Linked DNA regions of Oryctolagus cuniculus. The protein of the gene in region 5 purifies or fractionates together with the protein of the main gene of each other region. This does not show direct contact. Links are inferred from orthologs where the notes say so. Each region holds a gene or a part of one and is shown on either strand. Other genes may lie near its edges. The genes, in order: COPS7A, DCAF1, DDB2, DCAF11, COPS3, BTBD2 and CUL2.

Evidence for each region.
Region 1: the proteins of COPS3 (region 5) and COPS7A purify together in Homo sapiens (affinity purification with mass spectrometry; 14 studies listed by BioGRID and IntAct, counting the BioPlex papers as one, with this or other methods). This does not show direct contact. The link is inferred for Oryctolagus cuniculus from reciprocal best matches to the Homo sapiens genes COPS3 and COPS7A.
Region 2: the proteins of COPS3 (region 5) and DCAF1 purify together in Homo sapiens (affinity purification with mass spectrometry; 5 studies listed by BioGRID, with this or other methods). This does not show direct contact. The link is inferred for Oryctolagus cuniculus from reciprocal best matches to the Homo sapiens genes COPS3 and DCAF1.
Region 3: the proteins of COPS3 (region 5) and DDB2 purify together in Homo sapiens (affinity purification with mass spectrometry; 7 studies listed by BioGRID and IntAct, with this or other methods). This does not show direct contact. The link is inferred for Oryctolagus cuniculus from reciprocal best matches to the Homo sapiens genes COPS3 and DDB2.
Region 4: the proteins of COPS3 (region 5) and DCAF11 purify together in Homo sapiens (affinity purification with mass spectrometry; 3 studies listed by BioGRID and IntAct, counting the BioPlex papers as one, with this or other methods). This does not show direct contact. The link is inferred for Oryctolagus cuniculus from reciprocal best matches to the Homo sapiens genes COPS3 and DCAF11.
Region 6: the proteins of COPS3 (region 5) and BTBD2 purify together in Homo sapiens (affinity purification with mass spectrometry; 3 studies listed by BioGRID and IntAct, counting the BioPlex papers as one, with this or other methods). This does not show direct contact. The link is inferred for Oryctolagus cuniculus from reciprocal best matches to the Homo sapiens genes COPS3 and BTBD2.
Region 7: the proteins of COPS3 (region 5) and CUL2 purify together in Homo sapiens (affinity purification with mass spectrometry; 5 studies listed by BioGRID and IntAct, counting the BioPlex papers as one, with this or other methods). This does not show direct contact. The link is inferred for Oryctolagus cuniculus from reciprocal best matches to the Homo sapiens genes COPS3 and CUL2.

What each region holds. Positions count from the first base shown.
Region 1 is NC_091440.1:102,789,058-102,792,718, forward strand, and holds the end of COPS7A (COP9 signalosome complex subunit 7a), read right to left. Parts: coding exon 3,624-3,661; intron 2,795-3,623; coding exon 2,592-2,794; intron 2,024-2,591; coding exon 1,918-2,023; intron 1,767-1,917; coding exon 1,615-1,766; intron 1,450-1,614; coding exon 1,410-1,449; 3' UTR 601-1,409; downstream 1-600.
Region 2 is NC_091441.1:98,115,725-98,119,425, reverse strand, and holds part of DCAF1 (DDB1- and CUL4-associated factor 1), read right to left. Parts: intron 3,429-3,701; coding exon 3,270-3,428; intron 1-3,269. UniProt on the Homo sapiens protein: Acts both as a substrate recognition component of E3 ubiquitin-protein ligase complexes and as an atypical serine/threonine-protein kinase, playing key roles in various processes such as cell cycle, telomerase regulation and histone modification.
Region 3 is NC_091432.1:18,730,311-18,734,496, forward strand, and holds the start of DDB2 (DNA damage-binding protein 2), read right to left. Parts: upstream 3,002-4,186; 5' UTR 2,809-3,001; coding exon 2,682-2,808; intron 1,568-2,681; coding exon 1,431-1,567; intron 670-1,430; coding exon 478-669; intron 1-477.
Region 4 is NC_091443.1:51,073,856-51,076,991, forward strand, and holds part of DCAF11 (DDB1- and CUL4-associated factor 11), read right to left. Parts: intron 3,043-3,136; coding exon 2,915-3,042; intron 2,676-2,914; coding exon 2,611-2,675; intron 2,302-2,610; coding exon 2,201-2,301; intron 1,968-2,200; coding exon 1,821-1,967; intron 1,607-1,820; coding exon 1,552-1,606; intron 1,257-1,551; coding exon 1,188-1,256; intron 870-1,187; coding exon 812-869; intron 713-811; coding exon 527-712; intron 43-526; coding exon 1-42. UniProt on the Homo sapiens protein: May function as a substrate receptor for CUL4-DDB1 E3 ubiquitin-protein ligase complex.
Region 5 is NC_091448.1:66,273,074-66,277,415, forward strand, and holds the start of COPS3 (COP9 signalosome complex subunit 3), read right to left. Parts: upstream 2,872-4,342; 5' UTR 2,699-2,871; coding exon 2,644-2,698; intron 1,581-2,643; exon of another isoform or gene 1,439-1,580; intron 1-1,438. UniProt on the Homo sapiens protein: Component of the COP9 signalosome complex (CSN), a complex involved in various cellular and developmental processes.
Region 6 is NC_091447.1:58,986,938-58,991,356, reverse strand, and holds the start of BTBD2 (BTB/POZ domain-containing protein 2), read left to right. Parts: upstream 1-1,563; 5' UTR 1,564-1,570; coding exon 1,571-1,986; intron 1,987-4,419.
Region 7 is NC_091444.1:107,511,591-107,514,710, forward strand, and holds the end of CUL2 (cullin-2), read left to right. Parts: intron 1-1,164; coding exon 1,165-1,281; intron 1,282-2,026; coding exon 2,027-2,158; 3' UTR 2,159-2,563; downstream 2,564-3,120.

The DNA.
Region 1 (3,661 bases), on a different chromosome or scaffold from region 5:
CAAGTAGGTGACAATAAACATAAAACACAAGAAAAAACCCACTAAGCTCACCCAGTCTACTTTTAATCAAAACCTCAAGACCCCACTCCTACTGGCTGGCTCCACGACTGACAGCTGCAGGGCCGGTGTGGAGTGGTCTCTCTTCAGCCTCCACCTAGACAACCAGCACCAGCTCTGCAGAGAGGGCTCCCTGCCGCCTCCGCCACAGCCTCCCGGTTCCGAGGCGTTCACGGCAGCACTCTGGGCCAGGCTAGCAGACTTCCTGCGAAGTCCTAACTTGGAAGAAGGGCAGGAGCCCAACTGCGTGCTCCTGCCAGATACGATGGCTGTGACTGTGATGTGAAATCCAAGTTCGTCATCAATCTTCCCCTGAGGATTCTCTTATGATGCAGGAGGCAGGGAGCATGACCGGCACACGTGGGTGCTCAGGAAGGAGCGCTCATGTATGAAGCAGTCTGTCCAAAGCCACAGGGCACCAGGACTCGGGATTTAGAATCTGGTTCTCATCATTTTCCAGCCCTTTTTTAGAGTAGACTGGGAATGAGTCTTCTTCCCATCCACAAATATCAAACACAGAAGATACCCAGTGCAGGACATGTGTGTAGATAGACTTCTCATAGATTTATTTCTGTGTCATGTTATATATAGATATATGCATATACACCTTTTTAAATACAATCTATATGCCCTCCCTTCCCCACCAAAGTCACAACAGGGGACATAAAGCCTTGCAGGACTGCCACCAGGCTTCCCAAGATGGTCAGGGCCCACAGAACCATCTCTCAGCATCCTAATAACAGCTGCCCTCCTTGGGCTCTGGGGTTACTGAAGCTGCAGCACTCCCAGGATCCAAGGGGAAGAAGGAGGAGAGGAGACAACCGTAGTGTGAGAGAATTCTAGGATGAAAGTGTCCAGTCATTCAGAATGGCAAGCCGGCTCCCAAACTCTCAGGGTGGGCATAAAGGTAAGGGCCCATGGCCCTTGAGATGCCACCCATAGGTGGGGGTAGGGAGTGATGGGGGGGACAGGCATGCAGCAACATGGCAGGAGAAGGAACACCTGTGGGTTATGCTGGAGACAGAGCAAGCCCCGTCAGAGCTAGCCCCTTACCTGGCGACAGATGTAAGGAACAGGATAGATGTCGAGCTCTTAAAGAAACAGAGCACGATGGGGAAGGGGGCAATGCAACACATTAGAAAGTCACATAAAACAAAAGTACCAATAAAAATGTGACCTGTACTTGCCTCCTCCCCAGAGAAGGTGTGATCTGCTTGGGGGTGGGGGTGGGGGTGAAAGGTCATGAACTGAGGATTATCAGCTGGCCAGGGGCACAGGAAAGCTCTCTGAGAACTCCTAAGGGCAGGCAGGCAGCTGGGACCCACAGTCCCAAGGAAGAAATGACAGTCCCTTCAGTTCGACTTGGACCAAATCTTGGCACTCCCTCGGAGCCTGGCAAGGGGAAGAGAAAGAGAATGGGTGCAGGGACTCCCTACCCCCAAAGCCTCCCCCAACTCCCTATCCCCATGCAAAGGATGAAAGGAGAGGATGTAAGAGCAGCTGGGGCCCCGAGCTGAGTGGAGTGCCCCAGGGCAAGAGCTCCGCTGCCCGGCTCACCCTTTGCCCTTTGAGGCCTTCTTGCTGGGCTGGCGCTGGTTGGTGCCTGCGGCAGGTTCTCTCAGCTCAGTCAGGTGTTGCTCAGGGTCCTGAGATGTGGCTGCAGCCGCTGCCGCAGTGGTAACTTTAATGGTTTTCTTAAGGTTGGCAACCTACCAGGATGAAAGCCATAGGGGGGAGCAAAGAAGTTTCCGGAACATGATAGACTCTGCCCATCTGACCTGTCTGCTACAGCCATGGTCCAAACGCCTCTGCACAGGACAAGTGGCCCAGGCTGGGGCAGTGTGGGTGAGCCCTGCTCACCTCACTCTCAATCTGCTGCTTCAGGCCCAGCTGCTGCTCCTTGTGCTGGTTGGCCCGGCTCACTTGCTCCTCAATGCCTGACAGCACAACCTCACAGCCCACACACCTGCAGGGTGGGACGAGGAGACGCGTCAGCACAGAGGGCTGCGAGCACACTCATGACAGACAGACTCCAAAAGACCCGTAGCTCCCAGCATCTAACCCCTGTCCGAGCTGGGCCTTGGCAACCACCTACAGCAGTCCCCCCAGTGAGACAGACCCTCAGGTGGGACAGGAGAGTGGCAGGGAAGTGCCGCAAGTGCTGGGCAAGTCGGAGGAGAAGCGGAAAACCAAAGGGGTGGGGGATGAATGAGGACGGACAGTGAGGTTAGACAGGAGCAAAGCAGAGGCCTGTGGCCAACGGCGGTCACAAACCAATGAGTTGAATCCAGCCTAGACAGGTGACTGACGTGGGTAGCATCCCCGCTCCCTCCCCATGCACTTTACCAAGGATACTGCCTCCTGCCTCCCTGGGCCGCCTCCATCCCTGCCTCAGATGCCTTTGGAGGGATGGCTCACTTTGCTTCAGCCTCCTGGGTCGCAGCCCAGCCCAGCCCCTGCTCTCTCCTGCCCTGAAGTACCTCTCCCTTTCTTGGGGTGAGGAGGGGAGGGACAGTGCCGCCCTCGGCTCTCACCACTCCTGCAGGGTTCGGGCGATGGCGCTGAGGTCCTGGCGCTGGATGTCTCGCCCGATGCTGTAGTCCACCTCCAGCCGCTGATTGCGCTGGTCCAGGGAGCCGCGGAGCACATCCGCGTACACGGCCTCGATCACCAGGTCCTCCAGCTGCCGCACGTTCCGCAGGGCCAGCGCCTCCAGCAACACTGCGTATGGGATGCACTGGGCCCGGGAGGCCAGGATTTGTGAGGAGCCGCAGCAGGAAGGGGTTTCCAGAAATCATCTTCCCTCCGCCCTGGCTCATCTGCCCTCCGCTCTGTTCCTATACCACTTCCTCTAGGGCAGAATAAGTAAATGTATTCCCACCTCAAGAAAACAGCATGAGAAGGCCAATCTTAAATAAAACACAAGACTTAAGCTCCCTTACCACCCTATTTCTCCAGACCAGAGCGAGCAAGCAAGCGACACCTGTCTGGGGTCATTCCTCTGGCCACAGCTCAGGAGCTCAGGCAGCCCTGCATCAAGATCACCCTGGCACGGTGGGAATATGCGGCAGGGGAGAAGTCTGACCTCTGCACAGGCATTGCACAATGCAGAGCTCGGTTTAAATCAAGTCAGGACAGTAACAAGACAGTCAAATAACAACTGGGAAACCTCAGCTTGGGGGGTGTGGCAGGAAACTGAGGCCAGCAGGAATACAGAGATCCTTCTGCGTTATATGCATGTCTTACTCCACCAAACAGAAGCCTGGCACCTTGTCAGAAGAGAGCCTATTCCAGCTGAGGCCGTGGGAACGGAAGTAATTGTACAACACATGCATGGCACCCTCGTTGCCACTTTCAGCAGCATACAAAAGATATTTACTTAGAACTTAAGGTGACTGAAAACTTACAAAGAGAAAACTAAGAGAAGGCTCAGCCTAAATGGCTCGGTGATGGACTCCAGACAGACCCTGAGGGGGGCAGGACGAGGCAAGTCTGGTCCTGGGACATCCTAGTGTCACCTCCCAGACACAGAGAAGGATGCCTAGACCTGGGAGACTGCCACTCACCTTGACTTTAGCAGCCAGCGTGACCACGGAGAGGTGTC
Region 2 (3,701 bases), on a different chromosome or scaffold from region 5:
AGAGACGTCCCTCAAGGTCATGAAAGTGGCTGGGTCTACTGATACAAAGTCTGCAAGTTTAGTATTAACTCTTTCACTCGCACACTCTGTGCGTTAGCGAATGAGCTGTAAAGCACTCCCCAGGTTTGCCTAATACTTTTTTCTGTATCTTAGCCATAATTAATTTTTTATGTACGAGTACACATACAGATTTCCTATTTTCAGAAGGCTACCTATCACTGTATAATGCTAAACTCAAGAAAAGAAAAAAGTTAAAATAAAAATTGGGTATCTTACTAATAAAGTGTAGCTCAAGAAGAAACTGCCAGGGCAAGCACTGTGAACACCAGGTTAAGCCACCCCTGAGAATGCCTGCATCACACATCAAAATGCTTGATTCCAGTCCTAACTACTACACTTCCTCCAATCTGGCTTACTGCTAACGCACCTGGGAAGCACTGGGAAGCACTGGGAAGCACTGGGAAGCACTGGGAAGGCTCAAGTACTTGAGTTCCTGACACCCACAAGATAGAGTCTGATGGAGCTCCTGGCTCCTGGCTTCAGTGTGACCCAGCACTAGCTATTGAGAACATTTAGGGAATTAACTAGCTGATAGGAAATGCAAACTATCTTTCTCTCTCTGCATCATTCTGCCTTTCAAATAAATAAAGCTTAAAAAAAAAAAAAAAAAAAGGGAGAAACTACCAGCTTCACTCTTCACCAGAAAAATATCAGGAAAATGTTCCAGGCACAGAAATGAAAACAGTTCCCTAGTGATGTGCAAGGGACCATCATTTTTCAAATGTATAATCCACTTACATTTTTTAAAAAACTCACTACATGGGGCCGGCGCTGTGACACAGCAGATTAAAGCCCCAATCTGCAGTGCCAGCATCCCATATGGGTGCCAGTTCAAGTACCAGCTACTCCACTTCCAATCCAGCTCCCTGCTAGTGTGCCTGGGAAGCTCCTGGCTCCTGGCTTCAAATGGGCTCAGCTCTGACTGCTGCAGACATTTGGGAAGTGAACCAGCAGATGGATCTCTCTCTCTCTCTCTCTCTCTCTCTACCTCTACCCCTACCCCTCTGTAACTCTTTCAAATAAATAAAATAAATCTTAAAAAAAAAAAAATCACTACATATAAAAAGGGTCTTAACTGGAAAAACAGAAGAACCAAATGCAGAATCACTTCAACCCTGAGAACAGTTCGGAAGATTTAATTATATCCGTCACAAACTGTTAATACATACCAGGCAGTCTATTGCTTTTACAATAGATTGACTCAAAGATATAAAATATTAACTCCACTGAATGACATCTGAAAAGTAGCTGTAGACTAATCTTAATGCCTGAGAACTGCCAAAAACTAAAGTCCTTAGACTCCAATTCATCCTGTATTTTTCCATAGAATCAGAAAAAAAAAAAAAAAAAAAAAAAAAACACTAGATCATTGTCTACATAAAATTTTTGTATTTGGAATGCTTTGTGAAAATCATTCATGTACCTTGCTTCTTTCATTAGAACTTACTTCTTCAACTATACTTTTCTTCTTATCCAAAAGTTGTTCTGTGAATGCACTTGTTTTTTAGTTTGAGAGACAAAGAACTCTCATTCCATTGGTTCACTCCTAAATGTCCACAACAGCGGGGGTCGGAAAAGGGGCTGGCCAGGACCAGTGCCAGGAGCCAGGACACAGGGGATTCAATCCAGGTCTCTCATGTGGGTGGCAGAAACTCAATTACTTAAGCCATCACCTGCTGCCTCCCAGGTTCTACACTAGCAGGAAGCTGGACTAGGGAGCCAAGACTCCAAACTCAGGCAGTCTAGTGTGGAATAAAGGTATTCTAACCTGCAACTTATCAGCTAAGCCAAACATTCATTCCATAAATGTGTTCTTTTCTTTTAAATTTAAAAGGCAGAGGCCTGCGCCGTGCCTCACTTGATTACTCCTCCGCCTGCGGCGCCGACATCCCATATGGATGCCGGGTTCTAGTCCCAGTTGCTCCTCTTCCAGTCCAGCTCTCTGCTGTGGCCCGGAAGGACAGCGGAGGATGGCCCAAGTGCTTGGGTCCCTGCATCCACAGGGGAGACTAGGAGGAAGCACCCTGCTCCTGGCTTCGGATCGGCGCAGCACCAGCCGTAGTGACCATTAAGGGAGTGAACCAATGGAAGGAAGACCTTTCTCTCTCTCTGTTTATAACTCTGTCTCTCCCTCTCTCTCTAACTCTGCCTGGCAAAAAAATTTAAAAAAAAAAAGTGTTAAATTTAAAGGGCAGAGAGACAGAAACAAAGAAACAGATGGAGAGAGATCTTCCATCTGCTAATTCACTTCCCAAAAAGACTACAAGAGCCAAGAATGAGCCAGGCTGAAACCAGCGCCCAGAGCACAATTCAGGTCTGTTAAATAGGTGGCCAGGTCCCAAGTACTGCAGCCAAAATCTGCTGCCTCCAGAGGTGTGCATTAGCAGGAAGCTGCACTGAAAGCAGAACTGGGGTGGAACTTTGGTCCAGGGAATCAGGCTGCCACCTACAACACCAATATCTCCCATATAAACGCTGATTTGAGTCCCAGCTATCATGCTTACAATGCAGCTCCCTGCTAATGAGCCTGGGAAAGCAGCAGAGATGGTGCAAGTGCTTGGCCCTTGCCACCCACATGGGAGACCTGAATGAAGCTTCTGGATCCTGGCTTCTGCCTGGCTCAGCCCTAGCCATTGTGGCCTTTTGGGAAGTGAACCAGCAGATGGAAAATCTCTCTATAACCCTGACTATGAATGAAAGCAGAGCATCCAAGACTCAAACCAGTCACTCCAATATGCAATACAGGTATCCCAAGTGGTGACTTATCCAAGGTACCAAACGGCTTTGTGAATGTACTTCTTTTAAAGAGACTATTCTTGGGCCGGTGCTGTGGTATAGCAGGTAAAGCCACCACCTGCAGTGCTGGCACTCCATATGGGCACCGGGTTCTAGTTCCGGCTGCTCCACTTCCAATCCAGCTCTCTGCTGTGGCCTGGGAAAGCAGCAGAAGGTGGCCCAAGTCCTTGGGCCCCTGCATCCAGATGGGAAACCCAGAATAAGCTCCTGGCTCCAGATTCGCACAGCTCCAGCTGTTGCAGCCACCTGGGGAGTGAACCAGCATATGGAAGATCTATTTATCTCTCTCTCTCTGCCTCAGCCTAACTCTGTGTTTCAAATAAATAAATACATCTTTAAAAAAAAAAAAAAGGGGGAGAGAGACTATTTTCCACCCAGTCTCATTCCCATACATCCAGCTGGACTGGACTTACTCTTTCCATGGCGTCCTGGTTGTAAGACAGGTAATACAAGCACATGGATACACCAGTTGCAGCCATAGACGGTCGAGGAATTTCCAGCAATTTCTGTACTCCACCATGAGCAACAAATTCTGTGGCAAATTTGTTATGGAGCAGGAGAGATGCTAAGTGCTGAACAATAAGGACACAAGTTACCATCAAACAATCCAGAAAAAAAAAAAAAAAACTTACCTCTTGACACAATATTAAGCTGCTAAATGCAAGAGTTCTCTAAGTAGACAACTACCTCCTTACAAAAGAACAAAGCCAATATTGGTTAGACAAAAAGCATCTAACAATTAAGATTCCAACAGTTTCAAAGAAGGTAAAAAACCAAGAAATGAAAAATACTGCTGTGATTTTATTAGTACTTAGCTTCCCCAAATGAACTGCTGCTAACCCTCT
Region 3 (4,186 bases), on a different chromosome or scaffold from region 5:
TGACGGACGTTTTGGGGGAAAGATGAAGCAGTGAGGATCCTGGGAAGGACTGGGGGGAGGGGCTACTTAATGAGTTGGACGGTGAGTGAAAGCCCCCTTGAAGTGCGCTAAGCAGGTACCTGAATGATGAGGAGTCAGCCATGAAGAGACCAAGAGCAAGGGCACGCCACAGGAAACAGCAAGTGCAGAGAATCCGCCCTCCCCCCCCCCCCCCCCACCTTTCAGGGATAGAAATAGATGGTGTGGTTAAACCACAGAAGTAAAGAAAAGAGGTCAGATTCCATGGGTGAGCAATAGTCTATACCTTTTAATATTTCAAGGGCAGGCATTCAAACTAATATTTGAGTACCACACCGTGTACACATTTGCGTTTGACAATGCCCAGTAACGTTCAACCCCAATCATCTCTTTACTGGGTGATGCCAACATTCCTTTCATTCCTGTAACAAACCCGTCTTTAGCAAGGAGAAAGCTTACCCCTTTGATGAAGGTGGGTCTCTCCTTTACCCTAAAGTTCCACAGCATGATGTCTCCCCCTTTGGAACCCACTGCCAGGGTGCTGGGGTGAGTCGGGTGCCAGGCCAAGGAGGTAGCCCTCCTATCAAAGGGGGCAGCCTTTTGGAATATCCGGTAAGAAGCCAGAGAGTGCAAAAAGGACTGCTGGAGACCCTGCCGCAGAGAGAAAAGAATCAAGCTGAATTAAAACCCAAGTCCTGGGGTTATGCAACCAAACTACTAAGTCTTGTAGCGGTTTAAGCTACCCCCAGCAATGCCGCCAACCCATATGGGTGCTGGTTCATGTCCTGGCTGCTCCACTTTCGATCCAGACCCCTGCTACTGTGTCTGGGAAGTCAGCAGTGGATGGTCCAAATGCCTGTGCCCCGGCCACCTATGTCAGAGACAGGGAAGAAGCTCCTGGCTTCAGTCCGGCCCAAGCCTGACTGTGCAGCCATTTGGGAAGTGAGCCAGCAGATGCAGGCCCTCTCTCTCTCTCTCTTCCTGTAACTCTGTCTTTCAAATAAATAAACAAATCTTAAACACAACCTCCCCCCCACACATACACACGCACACACACCAAGTCCCAGGCAAACTGGTAAAGTGCCAATCTCTGCCTTCACAGATGAGCCTGAGGGCCAAATCCCACCCACCCCCCCCCCAAAGGAAAAGTAACTGCCTGGCCCTGTACATGAAAATATTTGCAACATACGTGACCTACTCTTGGAAAGCAAAGGGGCAGAGGTGCATTCCACTGGGACCTTTATAATCTAAGACTTTTCTATCTAGCTGAGCTCCCAGCGGGCCCGTCACCACCACGGTTGGGGGGGAGGGGTGTGATCTGACCACTTTGACAAAAACCAATTCTGGAGCATCCAAAAAACAAAACAAAATACCATGCAAACCCTGGAGCACACCAGCCAGGAAACACCCACCTGTTGCAGCGATGGCCAGGCAGTTCTGCCCAGCCTGTGCTGGTGCAAGGCCCTGACAAGGCTGCTGCAGGGCTGCGGGTCCTGCAGGCCGGGCAACCCCGCCGGGAGGCAGTCTGAGTCAGATCTTCTGCCAGGAGCTGCCAAGAAGAGCAGAGACATACTTTCCCCTCCAGTCTCAGGAAAGGCTTTCCTGGTGAAATCTCAGGCGGTCCTGTTGTAGCAGTCACTAGAGCCACCCGGTCCCATCACCTCTGGGCTTTCCCATGGTCTGTTTATCTACTTCACCCGGCACAAGAAATAGTAGGACTCAGTCCCTTCCCCAAAACCGTTAATTCTAAGTGTGATCTTACAAGGTTCCTGAGGGTTGAGGCAAAGAAACACACAGGAATAAAGTGCACTGTAGAACTCCTCCCAGTGTAGATGGGGTTGGGTGCCAATTTTAAAATTGCAAAGTAGTGGGGTCCCTGCCACCCACTTGGGAGACCCAGATGGGGGTTCCTGGCTCCTGCTTTTGGCCTGGCCCAGCTCCGGCTGTTGCAGGGATCTGGGGAGTGAACCAGCGGCTGGGAGCTCTCTGTCTCTCCCCAGAATAAATAAAACAAAATCACATATAACGCACAACAAAAATGGTTTTTGGACAGCAGAATGCAAGTGATTGTCTCCAAAAAGATGTCACTTTAAATGCTGGATTAAAGTAGTGTAGAGGTGACATCAACTTAGAACAGGAAGTAGACGAGTCTAGATGATTATCTAACTGTATCTGCATTTTCAGTCTCTATGGGTCTTTTTGACAACCTCTTGTTTCTTCTCAAGGACAAAAACCACGTTATCCGCAACCCCCTGCCCCAGTCTTGGGTTCCCCCATTACCCCTTACAGCCCCAAGTTCAAACCCCAGGAAACCTCAGAGATGGAGCTTTCTAAGGAAGGCAACAGGAGGCTGTCCCAGCTAAAACCAAGGCCACAGAACTAGACACCCGCCGCGCCAGGAGAGGTAGATTACTTAGGCAGCCCTCAGGGTGTAAAACGCCTCAGACAGACAAGGACTGGAAGGGGGGCTCATCTGTTTCCTCCTCCCGGCGAGGAGGGGGCTCTTTAAACCTCAGCTCCCCGGGGCCAAAGGGCCTGCAGGCAAAAAGCACAGCCTGAGGCACCGATCCCTGGGGTTGCCCCAGGAACCCCGGAGCCATCCCCCACTCCGGCCTGGGCCCCCCGAATGGCGGAAGCATTAAAGCCGCAAGCACAGGCAGTACCGCAGCCCGTGACGTTCAGCTTCTTGGCCTCGGGCTCTGGGTCTCGGGGACTTCGGTTCCTCTTGCTCCGGGGGCGCAGCACAACCTCGAGGGGCTTCTGGGCTTCGGGGCGTTTCTTGGGAGCCATCGCGCCGCCCGTGCGAAGGGGCGTCCTATGCAGGGATCCCGGAGGGAGGACTGAAAAGCCTCTGCCGGGAGAGGCAAAGCGGGGAGCCCGAAACCCCCGCGGCTACAGGTAGCCCAACTAAGCCAACTTCCCGCCAAACATGCCCGGAGCTTGTTTGGTTCTGACTCTGGCTCCGCCCCTCTCGGAGGGACACGCCCCTTCCGGGAAGGCGGGACGTGCGCGGCGATTGGAAGAGCGTGAAGGGCGGAGCTTCCGCTCTCCGGCAGGCGTCTGGGTTTTTCTTTTTTTCTTCTTGGAGATTGGGATGTCTCCTCTGTGATGCGCCGCGCGTTGCATAACCGCTCATGTCTGAACACAGATAGTAACACGGACACGATCCAAAACACAAAAGTGACCAGAACTCTCCCTGTTTCGGCCAATACGGAAACTAACGGCGGCCGCTGAGCCAGCCACACCTTCAGCCTTGCTGCTTGCTACCCGCCCTTATCTACCTTATCTAGGGATAAGGCTGATCAGGATGCTGTAGGGGAGGACTCGCTGCCGGCGTCGCTGGGGCCCAAGATTTAAACCAACGTGGCACGGATTAACGGGAGAGCGCAGAGACCTTCTATTTCATGTTTTTGCACGTACCTGGGAGACTTTAAAAGGAAAATGAAGACCCAAAGAGGCCGTCAGGCCCAAGGCTTGTGCCATGTCTCTTCTTACACAGAGGACACTCAGCTGTGGAGATGTGACCGAGGCTTGAGCTAGGGGCGGTGAACTGTGAGGCAGTGACTAGAAAACACGTGGGTGGGACTAGTGCAAGATTAGCTTGGCCAGGTCCCTTTCAGTGTGGACTCCCAGTCCCTGGTGGTGAGACTGTTCTCTCTTCCTGGTTCCTCATGGGAAATGTTATGACCTCCTGTTAGGCAGAAAGGGGAAGGAGGCTTTCCTGCACTGCTGTTTGTTCAGGTGCTGTCGGCTCAAAATACTCAGTATGCTGGGCGGGGGTTTGACGTGCTGGTTAAGACACCGCTTGAGACACATATCCCCTATCCAAGAGCCTGAGTTCAAGTCCTGGCTTTGCTTGGATTGCAGCTTCCTCCTAACGCACACCACGAAGCAGCAGGTCAGGCAGGTGGGTCCTTGCAGCTCGTGTGGGAGACCTGGACGGGGTTTCTGGTTCCTGGCTTGAGCCAAATAGTTGGAAGCATTTTTTCTTGTCACTGATTGAGGCTGGTGTCCCAGAAAGCAAAAGAATTCAATAGAACAATCAGATAGAGGGAGCAGGGTTAGACTTATCAAATATATTTCAAAGGAGCAGCAGGCAGCCAGGACTAGTGGAAACTGACTACTGGAGCAGCAGGCAAGCAGGACAGCTAGACCTGTATTATGCAAC
Region 4 (3,136 bases), on a different chromosome or scaffold from region 5:
GGTCTGGTCTTTGGAGTTGGAGATGAGGTACCGCGCATCACCCTGGGAATCCCAAGATGGGTAATGAGGCATTGGAACTTGCAAATGTCAGTGCCTGTGCGTTCTCGTTCCCCTTCCCTCGCTGAAAAGGAAGAACTCCAGCCTCTGATTTTGCTTGCTTCTTTATCCAGGTCAGCTCACCTTCGACGCTCTGTCTCAGATCCTACCCGCCAGCTGGGTTTTCCTCTCTTTGCTCAGGGCACTCACTGGCTGGAACTTCTATTCTATCCTGGATTAGATCGTCTTCTACTTTTTTTACACAGAAAGCCCTGCCCTGCTCCTTGAGAACTGGTGGGTACACACAGAGCTCATGTTTCCTGGCTTTGGTTCCTTCCATAAGTTCCAGCTCTTGCAAGCCTTGATTAACAAGCACCGTATTAGTCAAGGCTTGCGAATGGTGTCTAATTCCCACACCAGTTCATGTTCCCACCATCTTGGGCAACCAGAACTTTGGTTGCCTGGCTCTGCATCCTGCCTCTCTGCCCACCTTGCTGTCAATGAAGGTGATGCCATCCTGGTGTCCGGCCAGCGCACCCACAGGCTTGGGGTCATCTTCCCGCATAGTGCGTCGATCCCACACTTTGCAGATGGCATCGTCACCCCCAGAGAACAAGATCTGAGAGCTTATATCAGCAAAGGCCACTGCATTCACATCATCTTCATGGGACTCGATCTAGGGGAAAAGGAGGCCAGGATACTTGACATTCGCTTTCCAAACCCTACAGTAAGCCAGAGACCACGAGGCAGAGGCTCTCAAGCTCTCGAGTGATACCTGAAGGGTACGCCGGTTCTGTTCTCGGTCAAAGACATAGAGGCAGCCATCATTAGCCCTGGAAGGGAAGAGACAAGGGGCTCGTGGAGCCAGACTGAGAGGACCGATGCTCTGAAGAGTCCTGCTGAGAGGCGAGCCCGCAGCTGCTCTACACAGCAGGCTGGGGTCGGGTCGCTGTCTCCCAGGAGGCCCGCCACCTCCCATCGTGATGGGAAATGGCACGCAAGAGGTACAACAGCTTGTAAGCCCTGCCCTTGGAGATGAGCTGTGTGTTCCCAATGGCTGCCAGTGCAGGCTGCGCAACAGGCAACAGCAGAGCCCAACTCTGGGAGAACTCCTATCTCCTCGACTGTAGGAGACATCCCCCAGCACTCACCCTCCCAGCACCTCTCGTCCATCTGAGGACACCGCGATGGAGAAGACGGCAAAGCGACGCTCATCCGGCCTGGAGAGAGCAAACGAGGAGTGGGGTTACGTGGCCTTCCCCTCTACACAGAACCTACTGAGGACGGTGAGGCGCAGCCTCGTGCTCAGCACGTGCCGGAACGTGGATCATCTCAGAGAGAACCTAGCCATCTCATCTACCCTGCTCCTCTGGCTTGCGGGCTGGGTGGTGCCTGCCCAGGGATCTGCGGCACCACCCTTCCCCTTTAAGAGGAGCTCTGGGCCAAGAGGTCGCCTCCTGGAGCGCCTTCCTTGAGAGGTTTCTGATGAGGATGACCAGAAAGGGAAGCCAGTACCTCAGATCCAGGGCAGTGTGTGTGTCTCCTTCCCCGTGGATGTTGCAGATATGGACTAAGAGAAGCAAGAGAAACAAGAATCTTTCAGGGCTGGGGGCAGGAGAGCGGAAACGAAGCGAGGGAAGAGACAGGACAAAGGGCAAGGAGGTCCGAGCTCTCCGAGACTGATCTTCCTGGAACAAGGCAGGGGGCTGTGCTGAGAAGAGACCAGTGCGTGGAGACCTCATCATAGGCTGGAGAGACAACAGAAATCTGGCACACACACTCACTGTAATCAGACCAGCTGGAGTAGAGGAAGTGGTTCCCATCAGGGGTGAAGGCCACATCTAGGACGCTCCAGCCCACATCCCGGGCCTTGATGCTCTTGAACTTATGGAAGCGGCCATACCGGCAGTCATAGAGTCGGATTGTCTGGTCTGTAGAGGCAGGGATCAGAGTCATAGAGCGCCCTCCTTGGATCCGTCCTGGGTCACACCTCCATCACTCAGAGTGTCTGCGGAGTCTTCCCTTTATTGGGGGGTGGGGAGGAGCCCTGACTGTGCAATCCTAAGCCTGGTTCTGAGCTCTGGGTCTGGGGCTCTCTAGCCTTGCTCAGGGGGAATGTCCCTCGTTCCAGGGAAAGGCAGTCGACAGGACCAGGGTCTGGTACCTTGGCAAGCAGACATGAAGATTTGCCCATCTTTGCTGTAGATACCACAGAAAGCCTTCTGAGAGTAGCTATCAGTGAAGCCCAGATCATTGGGCAAGAAGCTGGGGAAGCAGAAGGAAAGCGGGGTTGAGGTGGGCTCGGGATGAGGAGCGTCCCGATTCGCAAAATCCTAACAGAGCAGGAGCTCCAGGCCGAGGGCAGTCTTCCCTTTCGGCTTTGTGACCGATCCCCGGCCTCTGATCCACTCCGCCACGTCCTACATCTCTACACTTTTCCGCTTTGTCTCCCCTTAGAGCTACAACCCCATTTAACCTAACCTGAACGCCTCTGAGGCCCTTTAACATCTGCCCCTTCCAAGTTCGGATCAGACCTATCTGGCCCTTGGTCTGCCCGCCGAGCCCCATACTCACTGAGACATCACTCGAGACTGTTCGCCAAGGGAGAAGCTTCCCCGGTGGCAGAGGCCCCGTTCTCTCTAAATGGAAGGGATTGGGGAACATTGCTAGCAGAGAGAGATCACTTCAGTCACACCAAGCCCCCTCCTCCACGAATGCTGCTTTCGCCACACAGGGACAGGCACCACACACAGGAGTCCTTCCCGGGGGAGCTCTCCAGCCCAAGCACCGAGGCTTCCTTGGGAAGCTGACTTCCTTTCTCTCTGGTGCTGGCTGCCTCAGGCCCGCTGCCAGGCCGGCTGGAGGTGGAGAGGCCTACCTGGTGCAACATTCGAGGAAAGCTGTGCTCTTGGGCTGCCCGCTTAAGTCCCAGGCGCCCTGTGGCCAATTCCACCTGCGTCTTGATCTCATTGCATTCCAGCTCCCGGGTGTCAGGGGCTGCGTCCACTGTGAGTGCCAAAAAGAGTTTCCTGTTAGGTCCTCCAGCCCCAGAGGAGAGTCTGCAGAACTGTGCCCCAGCCCACCCAATGTGCCTGTATTA
Region 5 (4,342 bases):
CAAATGCCCCAGACTGCCTCACCTACCTCCTTCTACTTCACCGACGCTCAGAAAGCCCAGAGTCCATGCTCAGTCTGCGCACACGTGTGGGTCTCCACCTCTCGCCCCCACACCCTCTGCGACCTGCCCAACGGCTGTGACCTCAACCCTCTCTCCCGTTAGTGGGTGGCTGTTCTCTGCTACCTCACGGGCTGGCGGTGGTCAGTCACTCAGAGCAACCCGGGGGGGCACTGTCCCGTTTCCTCCAGCGTCAGAAGGCAGCACCGCTTACCAGCTTGTGAATTAAGCTGCTACTTCATCCATCCATCTGTCCCCCCCACCACTACGCTGTGTTAACAGCTACAGAAGCCAGGGAGGCCTGCACCGGCACTTTAGTAAGGCAGACCCATAGATTTTGACAAGTACTTTTTTTTTTCGAGATTTGTTTTATGTATTTGAAAGGCAGAATGAGAGAGAGAGAGAGAGAGAGAGAGAGAGATCTTCCACTTGCTGGTTCACTCCCCAAATGGCTGCAACAGCCAGAGCTGGGCCAGGCCAAAGCCAGGAGCTTCATTTGGGTCTCCCACGTGGGTACAGGGGCCCAAGGACTTGGGCCATCTTCCACTGCTTTCCCAGGCCAGAGCAGAGAGCTGGATCGGAAGTGGAGCAGCCGGGACACACACCAGCACCTATATGGGATGCTGGCTCTGCAAGCAGCGGCTTAACCCACTGTGCCCCAAGGTCCACCCCTTAATGGTTATTTTTTGGCGCCCTGGCCACACTCTGTCTCTCTGGTGGTGGTGGTAGGCGTATAATAATTCCAAGCACATTAACTTCAAGTCTCCTGCTCCGGTATGTCTATACAGTAGCTGGGTCTTTTTCCCATTTTTAAAAGAACACTTAAAATAACAGAAAGCCTGAAACCCAGCAACTGCAGCAGGGTATTTGATCATTTAATTCCGGGGGCTTCTGGGCCAGGACACTTTTTTTTTTTTTTTTTTTTTTTGACAGGCAGAGTGGACAGTGAGAGAGAGAGACAGAGAGAAAGGTCTTCCTTTGCCGTTGGTTCACCCTCCAATGGCCGCTGCGGCCGGCGCGCTGTGGCCGGCGCACCGCGCTGATCCTAAGGCAGGAGCCAGGAGCCAGGTGCTTTTCCTGGTCTCCATGCGGGTGCAGGGCCCAAGCACTTGGGCCATCCTCCACTGCACTCCCGGGCCACAGCAGAGAGCTGGCCTGGAAGAGGGGCAACCGGGACAGAATCCGGCGCCCCGACCGGGACTAGAACCCGGTGTGCCGGCGCTGCAAGGCGGAGGATTAGCCTAGTGAGCTGCGGCGCCGGCCGGGCCAGGACACTTTTATACTGAGTAAGTTGACCAAAAACAAAGTTAGTATCCCATCACTACCACACGTGCTTGCAAACCCAGAGCGAACAAACAGCTGCCATCCTGCAGGGCATCACCTCCAGACGGCACAGGCTGGGCGGGGAAGACCTCGCTGGTCGGGGGGAAAGGGCTCCTTCCACGTGAACAGCTGGCCCTGGTGGGCGCTCACAGCTGGGAACGCAGTCACAGCGGTCCGGGACGCGCTGGGTGCCCACAAAATCACTGCTGGGGCCGCGGGGAGAGCCCCGAGTACGGAGGCTTAGGCGCCACTGCGCGCACCCGAGCCGTGTCCGGCCACAGATGCGGCCTCCCGACAGAAAAGCAGGAACTTCCCGCGTTCCTTTCACGGGAAGGTCCGAGTCAGGTCACCCACATTTCCCTCTGCCTGGCACACGGGGCCGCCTCCCCCCAGCCCCACCCCAGGCGCCCATGCAAGGTTCTAGCTGTGTCTAAAAAAAAAAAGCCCGAAGAGGTTAACGGTGGCTCGTCCAAGGTCACGCAGCTCCTGAGAACCTGCACCTAACGGCTACCGGCAATCACTCGCAGCTGCATTTACTGCACCCTCTCCCCCAGGTCCCGACTGCTCCCACGGGGGTCCTCTCCATCCACCCTCACCACGGGACTCGCACAGGGTCGTCACGGCCAGCATCTAACTGCTCTAACCCCGAGCCCTGCTGTCTCAGATGCTGACATAACCAACGTGAAAGAACAAAACATCGGGAGAGCAACCCCACGCCTCGAAATGCAGCCCTACGAGCGCGAGTTCCCTCGGCATGCCGTGGGACCAAAATAAGCGCAGAGGCTCCCGAGCCTGCGCCGGCCAAGGCGAGCCCGGCAGCCAAGGCGCCCGGGAAGAACTCGCCTCCCGCCGGCTCCCCGAGGCCTAGCCTGGAGGCGACCCAGCGCCGCGGAGACCGGCAGGGCGCTGCGCCAATCACCGAAGGCACGGGAGGCCCCCGGGAGCCAATGGGCGCTCGGGAAGGCGACGGCGGAAGTCCCGCCCCCAAACTGTCAAGCGGAGCACCCGGTGGAAAAAGGGGCCCCGGGCCGAAGGGGAGGAAGGGGCCCGGCCGCTCGAGGGCAGGGAGGCCGGCGGGCGGGGACAACGGCGCTCCAAAGCACGAGGGCCCCGGCCACATTCGGCCGCGCTCGCCCGGCCCCGGGGAAGCAGCAGCTTGGGACTCAATGGGCGGTCCCTGCCGTCCGCGCTGGCGCCTGTGGATGCAGGGCCCGTCCCCCGTGCCCGCCCACACCCTCCCTGCCCCGCAGCCGGGGCCCTCACCTTGAGCCGAGAGCTGCCGGACGCTGTTCACGAACTGCTCCAGGGCAGACGCCATGTTTCCCCCGGGGCGGCCCGAGCGGCGCAGGCAGCTCGCGCGGGAAAAGGCGGCCGCGATCCAGCAGAGGGCCTCGAGTGTGGCTACGTCACTTCCGCCGGTACAAGCATCGCGAGAGCTCCCCACGCCGGGAGCCTGTTGCCGTTTCCATGGAAACACTTCCGCGCCCTGTCGAAGCGCCGGAAGTTCGCTTCTCTCTGTGCATCTGTGAAACCCCTCCCTCCCCCCCGCTTTAAATGGAGGTGGGGAGCGCTGGTTTTCCAGTCTCCGTTTTGCCAGATTCTTCGCAGGGAGATTGCCAAGGCTTTTGCTTGTGAGGTGATAAAGACTCACGCAGACTCTGGAGCTAGGCAGTCTGGGTTTAGGCCTGGGGAAGCTGTGTCTGCGCAAGCTTCTTATTTATTTGATAGGCAGAGTTACAGAGAGAGAGAGAGATCTTCCATCTGCTGGTTCACTCCCTAAATGGCCGCAACAGCCGGAACTGGGCTGACTCCAAGCCAGAAGCCAAGAGCTTCTTCTGGGGCGGCCCCAAGCACTTGGGCCATCTTCTACTGCTTTCCCAGGTGCATTAGCAGAGAACTGCTCTGGATCAGAAAGGGAGTAGCCGGATCTCGAACCCGTGCCCATATGGGATGTGGGTGCTGCAGGCAAAGGCTTGATCTATTATGCCACAGCCCCGCCTGGAGCAAGTTCTGTGCTTTCACTGGCCTCTCCCCCCTGCACTTTGGTGCCCGTCTTGCAGTCACTTCTGCTGGGGAAATTTCCCTCCACTGTCCATACTGTCGTCAGCGTCCAGGTCTCGAGGTCAAACATTCTTGCTTCTCTCAGGTCCCTCTTAAGAGCCTTACATTGCACAGCGGGACGTTTTAAAACTGCATCCCGGGGCCGGCGCCATGGTGCAGTATGTTAATCCTCCACCTGCAGTGCCGACATCCCATATGGGCGCTGGTTCTAGTCCTGGTTGCTCCTCTTCCAATCCAGCTCTCTGCTGTGGCCTGGGAAAGCAATGGAGGATGGCCCAGGTCCTTGGGCCCCTGCACCTGCATGAGAAACCTGGAGGAGGCACCTGGCTCCTGGCTTCAGATCGGCGCAGCTCTGGCCGTTGCGGCCATCTGGGGAGTGAACCAATGGAAGGAAGACCTTTCTCTCTGTCTCTACCTCTCACTGTAAAAAAAAAAAAAAAACCTGCATCCCACAACTATTTATTGAGCTCCTGCTGGAACATTCCGGGTCTTTCTGTAGAAAATGAGCTCGTAAAGACCCTAGCAAACAGGGCTGGGTGATCTGAAGGAACAGAGGAAACCAGGGACTGGCCTGGCATGACAGGGAAGGCTTTCTTGGGTACATGCCACCAGCTGAGCTCTGAAGAAAGAAGAATTAACGCACGGGGAAGGAAGGGGTGTTTCTGAGTGAGAGGACAGCCTGTTCTAAGCCTCTGCCTTGGGAAGGAGCTTGCTGTTTGCAAGGGAGTCGTTGAATGACTTCAGGGAGTCATTGTGGTGGACGGTGGGGGTGTAAGGCAGGTCCATCCGGGTCACCCGTATTGGGGGTGAGAAGGGCACAGGGGCGCAAGTACTTGAGCCGCCTTGGCTGCTTTCCCAGGTGCATTAGCAGACAGCTGGATTGGAAGTAGAGCAGCCAGGA
Region 6 (4,419 bases), on a different chromosome or scaffold from region 5:
CGGTATGCAAACGAGGGGCGTGGACACTGCCGCAGGTGGAGGCGGTCCCGCGAGCGCTGGGCTCCCAGGCGGCCCCACCAGCGATGCGGACGCGATCCGAGGGGTCGCCCATCCTTGCGTCCCCGAGAACGGCTGGCTCTGCGCGAGGGCGCTTCCCACGCCGTGCGTGGCGGGGCAGGGGCAGGGGCGCGGGCGCCAGTCCTGGCCGGCGCTGAGTGAAGCTGCCCCCCCACCCGAGTGGAGAAGCGCCCGGGAGGCAGAGGAGGCGCTGGCCCCCGCGAGTCCCCCAGCGGCACCGCCCACACTCGCGCGGCTCCCGGGGAGCAGGCCAGCGGTGGGGCCGGCGCACCCCGGGGTCCCAGCCCCCGCTCATGCGCACCCCAGTCCCAGCCCCTGCTCAAGAGCACCCCGGGGTCCCAGCGCCACTCCCCGCTCATGCACACCCTGGGGGGCAGCGGTGACCGGTGAGCGCCCTGCACCCCCCCACCGGAAACCCCACAGGGCTCCTGGCCCCAGCCCGGCCCAGCCCTGGCTGCTGGCATCTGGGGAGTGGACCCGCAGAGGGAAGACCCCTCTCCGTCACTCGCCTCTCAAATAAATACAGCAAAGCCTTAAAAATAAAAATACGAAGAGTGGGCGAGACTGGGGGGGATGCGGGGCAGAATGAAGCGTGTGGCGGGGGAGGGGCCGGCCCGATGAGCCGCGTGGGAGGCGCTCCCGGAGCCCCACCTTAGGCTCTCCTAGCTCCGACCTGCGCGCGCGGTCCGTGTTTTGGGGTCCCCTAGACCCGGAGTCCTGGGTCACCGGAGTGTCCCCTGCTGGCGCCCGGCGCCCTCGAGGGTCCTCGTCTGTGTAGGCGTCCCCTGCGCGGGGCAGTCGGACACGGATCCAGGATCCAGGGCCTGACCCGGAGTCCGCGTGCGCAGCTTAGGGCGGGGGTCGCGGGTCTGAGGCGAGGGGCTCACCGTCTGCGGTCTGGGGCTCAGGAGTCACGACCTGGGTTAGGGGTTCGGGTCCAGTGTGTGATGCTGGCGCCGGGGTCCGGGGCTCAGAACCGAAGCCCCCTCTCCACAACCCGCCCCGCCCCCCGAACTCTCCACTCCCCCGCCCCGCCCCTCATCCTGTCCCCTCCCATCGGCCCCGCCCACCAAGCTCCGCCCAAGGCCCGCCCACTGGGCTGCGCTCCGTCCCGACTCTCACTTCCCGTGCAGCCTCCCTGGCCCCGCCCCCGGCCCGCCTCCTGTTCCCTCCCATCGGCCCCGCCCACCAAGCTCCGCCCAAGGCCCGCCCGCCGGGCTCCGCCCCGTCCCCAGACTCCCACTTCCCGTGCAGCCTCCCAGGCCCCGCCCCCGGCCCCGCCTCCTGTCCCCGCCCTGCCGCCTCCATCGGCCTCGCCCCCAGGCTCCTCCCCAGGACCGCCCGCCGGGCTGCGCTCCGTCCCCAGACTCCCACTTCCCGTGCAGCCTCCTGTCCCCGCCCCCGGCCCCGCCTCCTGGCCCCGCCCTCCCGCCTCCCATCGGCCCCTCGCGGCCCCGCCCACAAGGCCCCGCCCCCGCGCCGCAGCGACAAGATGGCGGCGGGAGGCAGCGGCGGGCGCGCGTCGTGCCCGCCGGGGGTCGGCCCGGGCGCGGGGGGCGCCCCGGGGCCCAGCGCCAACGCCGCCGCGCCCGCCCCGGGCAACGCGGCCGCCGCCGCCGCTGCCGCCGCCGCCGCTGCCGCCGCCGCCGCCGCCGCCTCCGCGCCCGGGCCGGCCCCCGCCGCCGCCGCCGCCGCCGCCGCGCCGGGCCCCGGGGCGGACGCGCAGGCCGCGGGCGCCGAGCGCGAGGAGGCGGCGGGGGCGCTGCTGCGCGAGCCCGCGTACAACTGGCAGGCGTCGAAGCCCACGGTGCAGGAGCGCTTCGCCTTCCTCTTCAACAACGAGGTGCTGTGCGACGTGCACTTCCTGGTGGGGAAGGGGCTCGGCGCGCAGCGCGTCCCGGCGCACAGGTGGGCGCGCGGCCCGCGCCGCAGGCTCCCTCCCCGTCGCGAGGCCGCCCTCCGGGAGCGCGGGGGGCGTCGGCTCGGGAGCAGCCCCTCCTGGGGCCCCCGCGGTGGGGCCCGGGCTGGGGGCGCGGGGTCCCCCCCCCGGGGCGTCCCTGCCCGCGTCGGGGTCCTCGGGCGCCGGCCTGCCGTGCGTCAGGTCACCGCGCGCTGCTCCGTCATCCTGGGAGCCGGGCCGTCCCCCGCGCGACGCCCGGAGCCAGCGCCGGCGGGGTCCAGCCGGGGTCAGGGGCTCGGATCTCGGGGTGTGAGTGGGGGGCGGCTGCTGGGGCCCCGGGCTGACCTTGGCTTGGGGGCCCTCGGAGAGCGGGGGACCACGGTGGGGACAGGTGTTTCGGCCGCAGTGGAGGGGGCCTGGGGTCCGGGCGCGGCCGCCTGAGCAGCAGTGAGGGGCGCCTGGCCTGGCCCCGGGGGCTTTGAGGTGCAGGGGGAGGTCTGGGGGCGTCCGGGGGGCCGCGCAGGTCCCGGCTTCCGTGGAGCCGCCGCCATGGTCTCGGGTGTGTGGCTGAGCGCCCCCGTGGGGGCAGGTGCAGGACTGGGGGCCCAGCCTGCCGTGCCTCAGTTTCCACTCCTGTGCAATGGGACCCTCAGTGCGTCCCCCCCCCCCCCAGTCTGCTGGGACGCCCTGGCCCAACACAGGGGTCCTGCGCTCTCCGCTCCCCGCAGGGTGGGCTGGGCCGCGCTACTCCCTGGGAACACAGGGCAGCCCCCCGAGGTGCGCTGGGTGTGGGGGGCGGCCCTGGCCTCCGGGCCCCCCACCCCCGCGTCCACACCCGAGGGTCCCCAGGGTGCGGCTGGCGCTGTTTGCAGGTGGGGCAGCGGCGCCCCCTGTGGCAGCGTCCGGGTCAGACAGGAGCGGGCTGGGGGCAGCGGAGAATCCCCCCCCCAAGGCTGGGCTCCGGGACCCCAGAGAGGCGGGGAGGCCACAGCCCTGCCCACGCGCCGCCCCGGCCTTCCTCACGGCCGCCCCCGGTAGCGGCCACCGGGGTCCTGCGGGGTCCTGGCGGGGGTCCTGGCGGGGGTCCTGGCGGGGTCCTGCGGGGGTCCTGCAGGGTCCTGGCGGGGGTCCTGGCGGGGGGGGGTCCTGCGGGGTGCTGGCGGGGGTCCTGGCGGGGGGGGGGTCCTGCGGGGTGCTGGCGGGGTCCTGGCGGGGGTCCTGCAGGGTCCTGGTGGGGGTCCTGGTGGGGTCCTGCAGGGTCCTGGCGGGGTCCTGGGGCGTCCTGGGGCCCTGGGCGAGGATGTTGGGTCGGGATGAGGCCTGAGTGCCCGTGCGCGGGAGGCGGCCCCAGGCCTGGTCCCCCCACGGCCGCTGTGGGAGGCGGAGCCTGGGGCTCGTGGGTCCCGGTGGGGCGGTCCCAGTAGCTGAGCGCGGGCAGCTCCCCTGCGCTGGACTGGGCGGCGCTGCCGCCACTCACCCCTGGGTGCGCCGGCATCAGCAGAGGCGCGCGCTTTCGTTCCAATAAAACTTTACTTGTGAAGGCCAGCAGGCCGAGCCGCCCGGGCATCCCGGTGGGCACCGGCACGAGTCCGGGAGTCCCGGCTGCTCCGCTTCTAATCCGGCTTCTTGCCGGCGGGCCTGGGAGGCAGCAGATGAGGGCTCAGGCCCCGGGCAGCCCGGACGGAGCCCCTGGCCCCTGGCCCCGCCCAGCTGCTGCGGGCAGTTGGGAGTGAGCCAGCGGTGGACGCTGTGTCCTGCGACTCTGGCGGCCGCTGTGCTGGGCGGCTGGCGCTCCCCGGGGTCGCGGCGTGTGCGTGCCCCTGCCGGGCTTTTCCCGGAGGCAGACACGGCTCCCGCGGGCTGGGCTGGGGGCTCAGCCCAGGCCTCCCCGGGGCGGCAGGGGCCCCAGCGCCATCCGCTTTGGCGGGCAGCTGGGGTCAGGAGCCGGCGTGCGGCCACTTGGTTCGTTTGCTTGAAGGCGGGTTAGGAGGAGGCAGGCGGCCGCGCTGGGCCGGCTGGGCCGCCGATGCCCCACACCGGACTCGGTGCAGGTCGCTGGGTTCGGGTCTCCGTGGCCGCGGGGCCGGTCGGGGCCGGTGGTGACTACGGTCTGGCCGGCAGGCGGCTGTCCGCGGTGAGGGCGGCGTGACCGTGCTGGTCACCGCACGCTTTGAACCCGGCGACACCCGGCGCCCCCGCCTGGTGCCGCTCCGCGGGCCCCCCCCACGCCCCGGCCAGGGCTCCCCCGCGGGTGCAGGGGCCCAGCACGTGGCCATCTCCGCTGGTGCCAGGTGGAGGCTTAGCCCGCTGCGCCACAGCGCCGCCCGCAAATCCGTCAGCCTCGACGCAAACGGGCCGCGGGGGAGGCCCCGCCTGCAGGCCCGCACCCCACGTGGGCGCGGGTTCGAGTCCCGGCTGCTCCACTTCCGGTCTGGCTCCCT
Region 7 (3,120 bases), on a different chromosome or scaffold from region 5:
CCCTCGTCAGGACGTGTGGTCTGGCCTGGCGCTCTCCAGACATTCCCCACCGAGTCTCTGTTTTCCCCTTGTGAAAGGGAAGTTTTACAACTCAAGTTCCTGTGAAGAGACGTTGTCATGTAGCAGGTACCATGACATGTAAGACTGTGTTTATTTGAAGGACAGAAATGATCCGATAGAGCTCCTGCAAGGGCTGGAGCCAGGAGCCACGAACTCCCTCCAGGTTTCCCAGGTGGGTGGCAGGGACCCGTCACCTGCTGCCTCCCAGGGTGCACGTTAGCAGGAAGCTGGAATCCGGGAGCTCGTGGGAGCTGGGAGCAGACGCACAGTATGGAGTGCGAGCAGGCTTCCTGGGATCCCAACCAGGGGCCAGATACCTCCCTGCTTCTCAAACTGGAGGTGCACGGGAACCCCCTGGGCATCTTGCTCGAGTGGTCACTGCCCTCTCGCATGTCCACAGAGGGGTCTGCACTCCTGGTGAGTCGGTGTCAGTGGTGGGCATCTGCTCTTGATTCTTGGAACTCAGCACTGGGATGGACAGTTGACCTTACTCACGTCTCCTTGTTGCCTTCCACGTGCAGTCACTGGGGGCAGAACCATGTGTGAGATGTCAGACCCTCACCAGAACCACCGCCCTCAGGTGCAGACAGACCCCCAAAATGGTCATTGTCCAGTGTTCCTTTGGGCTGATGAATAGAGATGCAGTACATGTATTTTATCTTTTAAAGGGGTTAGGAAATGCCAGTGCTACGCCTGCCTTCCACATGTTTCCGTGCAGACAGGCACTCTGGCCCATCCTGGCTTTTTCTGCTTGAGCCCAACAGAGCCTGCCCGGCTCTTCCTATCAGTCCCAGCAGGCACCTGGGGCCGAGGGCCGTGGGCTGGAAAACCGTTGCTGTCGCGTAGAGGTCTGCCTGACGGCTTGCTTTCAGTAACCCTTCAGCTTAAGCTGCATGAGCGCCTCTAACAGCCCTTCAGCTGGAGCCTCGCGAGTGGCGTCTGACCCGTCCCGGTGGTGTTTGGGCAGTGGTCTTGTGACTCTGGGCGCTGCATAACCGCGTAGTTTGATCAGAAATGTATTCCAAGTCACTGGCAAGGGAACAGAGTACAGCTTCCGTGCCTCGATGTCTCTTTTGCAAACTGTCGTTCTCCTCTGTGCACCAGGAAATGGAGCAGACAAGAAGTGCCGTCGATGAAGACCGGAAGATGTATCTGCAGGCTGCTATAGTTCGAATCATGAAAGCGCGGAAGGTGCTTCGGCACAACGCCCTCATCCAAGAGGTGAAGGGAGGAGTGCCCGGGCTGCCTGGGGAGCGGGAGTGGGAGCGGGAGCGCGTGTGCCTGCGTACCGAGGACGGTGCCCACTGCTTCTCAGTGGGAAGTTCAGATGTGGATGGGCTTACGTGTAGAGGTCGAAAGCCCAGTGAGTTACTGACTCCTGCTGTTGAAGGGATTTGACCACATCCAATATTCATTCATTCATTCTGCAAACCGCTGAGTGTCCACTGTGCCTGCTGGGGTCCTGGATAGGTGCCAGGGGTGCAAGACATGGCAGCCCTGTGCAGCCCTAGGCTAGCAGAGCACACAGCCCCGTGAAGACGTGGGCAGAGTCCTGCCTGGGGCACTTTGGGGGCCACCTGGAGCATTGGTTGAGAGCTGACTGAGAATCAAATGGGAGCTGGGGTGTGTGTGCGCGTTGTTTCTAGTCCAGTGCGCCTGGGTGTGGATAATAGGTCTCGTGGCGTCTGCGCTCTGCGCTTTTATTCCTGCACGACGCCAATGACAGGTGTGACGGCTCCCTCCCCATGTGCACTGCCTGGGCTGTTCCAACAGGGACCGCAGGCCACGGCACTCCCCGCTGGTCACCTCCTTCCTCTCCCACTGGTTCTTTACCACAGTTTGATGAGCAGAATTTCCTGCCCGCAGCGCTTGTCTTTCCCTGTCGGGCGAGGCCCCGAGGCGCTTTGCGGCGTCCCTGCTCCCCGCCGTCGGGCGGCAGTGGCGTGACGTCCTGTCTCTCCTGCAGGTGATCAGCCAGTCGAGAGCCAGGTTCAATCCCAGCATCAGCATGATCAAGAAGTGCATCGAGGTCCTCATAGACAAGCAGTACATCGAGCGCAGCCAGGCGTCCGCGGACGAGTACAGCTACGTCGCGTGAGGGCGGACGTCGCCGTTGGGTGTGTCCTGTGGGAAGGCGGGCCTGGCCCCATCACCCGGTCACGCGGCAGCCCCTGTTTCTCTGCTGTTTACAACATCACCAGTGCCACGTCATGAGCGTCCAAGAAAATGCCTAGAGAATATTTGAGGCTCATGTCATTAGGACATTTCTTAAAACTCTATCGAAAGAGGGAATGAAGCGTCGCTGACGTGTGGAAATCGGGTTGGGTGCCATGCTTCTTCTCCCCTTCATGTTTGCAGTTGATGTGTTTTTTTTTTAATGTATCTTAAAGGACATAAAATAAAAACTTAAATATTGTAATATGACAGATAACCTAATAATTGTATCTACATTAAAATGACAAACATGATATTGCTGCTTGTCAAATAAAAGAAAATAAAGAAATAGGATGCCTCTTTGTACGTGGAGGGAGTGCCCGGCCGGCCATGCGTGCTGGTGCCGAGGCAGTGGGGAGCAGCTCACTCCCTCCCCTCCCACGTGGAAGAGCGCGGCTCAGCGCACGGAGCGCGTCCCTTCCGTGGATGAGAAGGAGCCGGTGAGTCTGAATATTGAGGGAACGATTCGCCGGGAGCTCCCGGGGCCACGCGCGCCACACAGAGTGGCAGGAGAGGAGGCTGAGCGGACAGAGCTGGCCTGTGCTCCGTGCTGCGTCGTGCCAGCGTAGCCCCAGCCTGCGCTGTCGGAGGTCCCGTGACGCTCGCGTGTTCCTCCCCTCTCCTGCCCGCCTGACCCCTCATGCCACCCTTCCGTGACTCACGCTGGGTCTGCTCCGGGAAGGCACAGGTAACCAGGATACCTTTGTAAAGGTCTGGTGAGTGCGTTTCACAAGGTGCAACTTAACGTAGAGACAAAAAACATGTTATCATGTGTATCTACGCAGTATTAGAATATTCTGGTCTGGTATCACATCTATTTTGTGCCTACCCCTCACAGCACAGCTG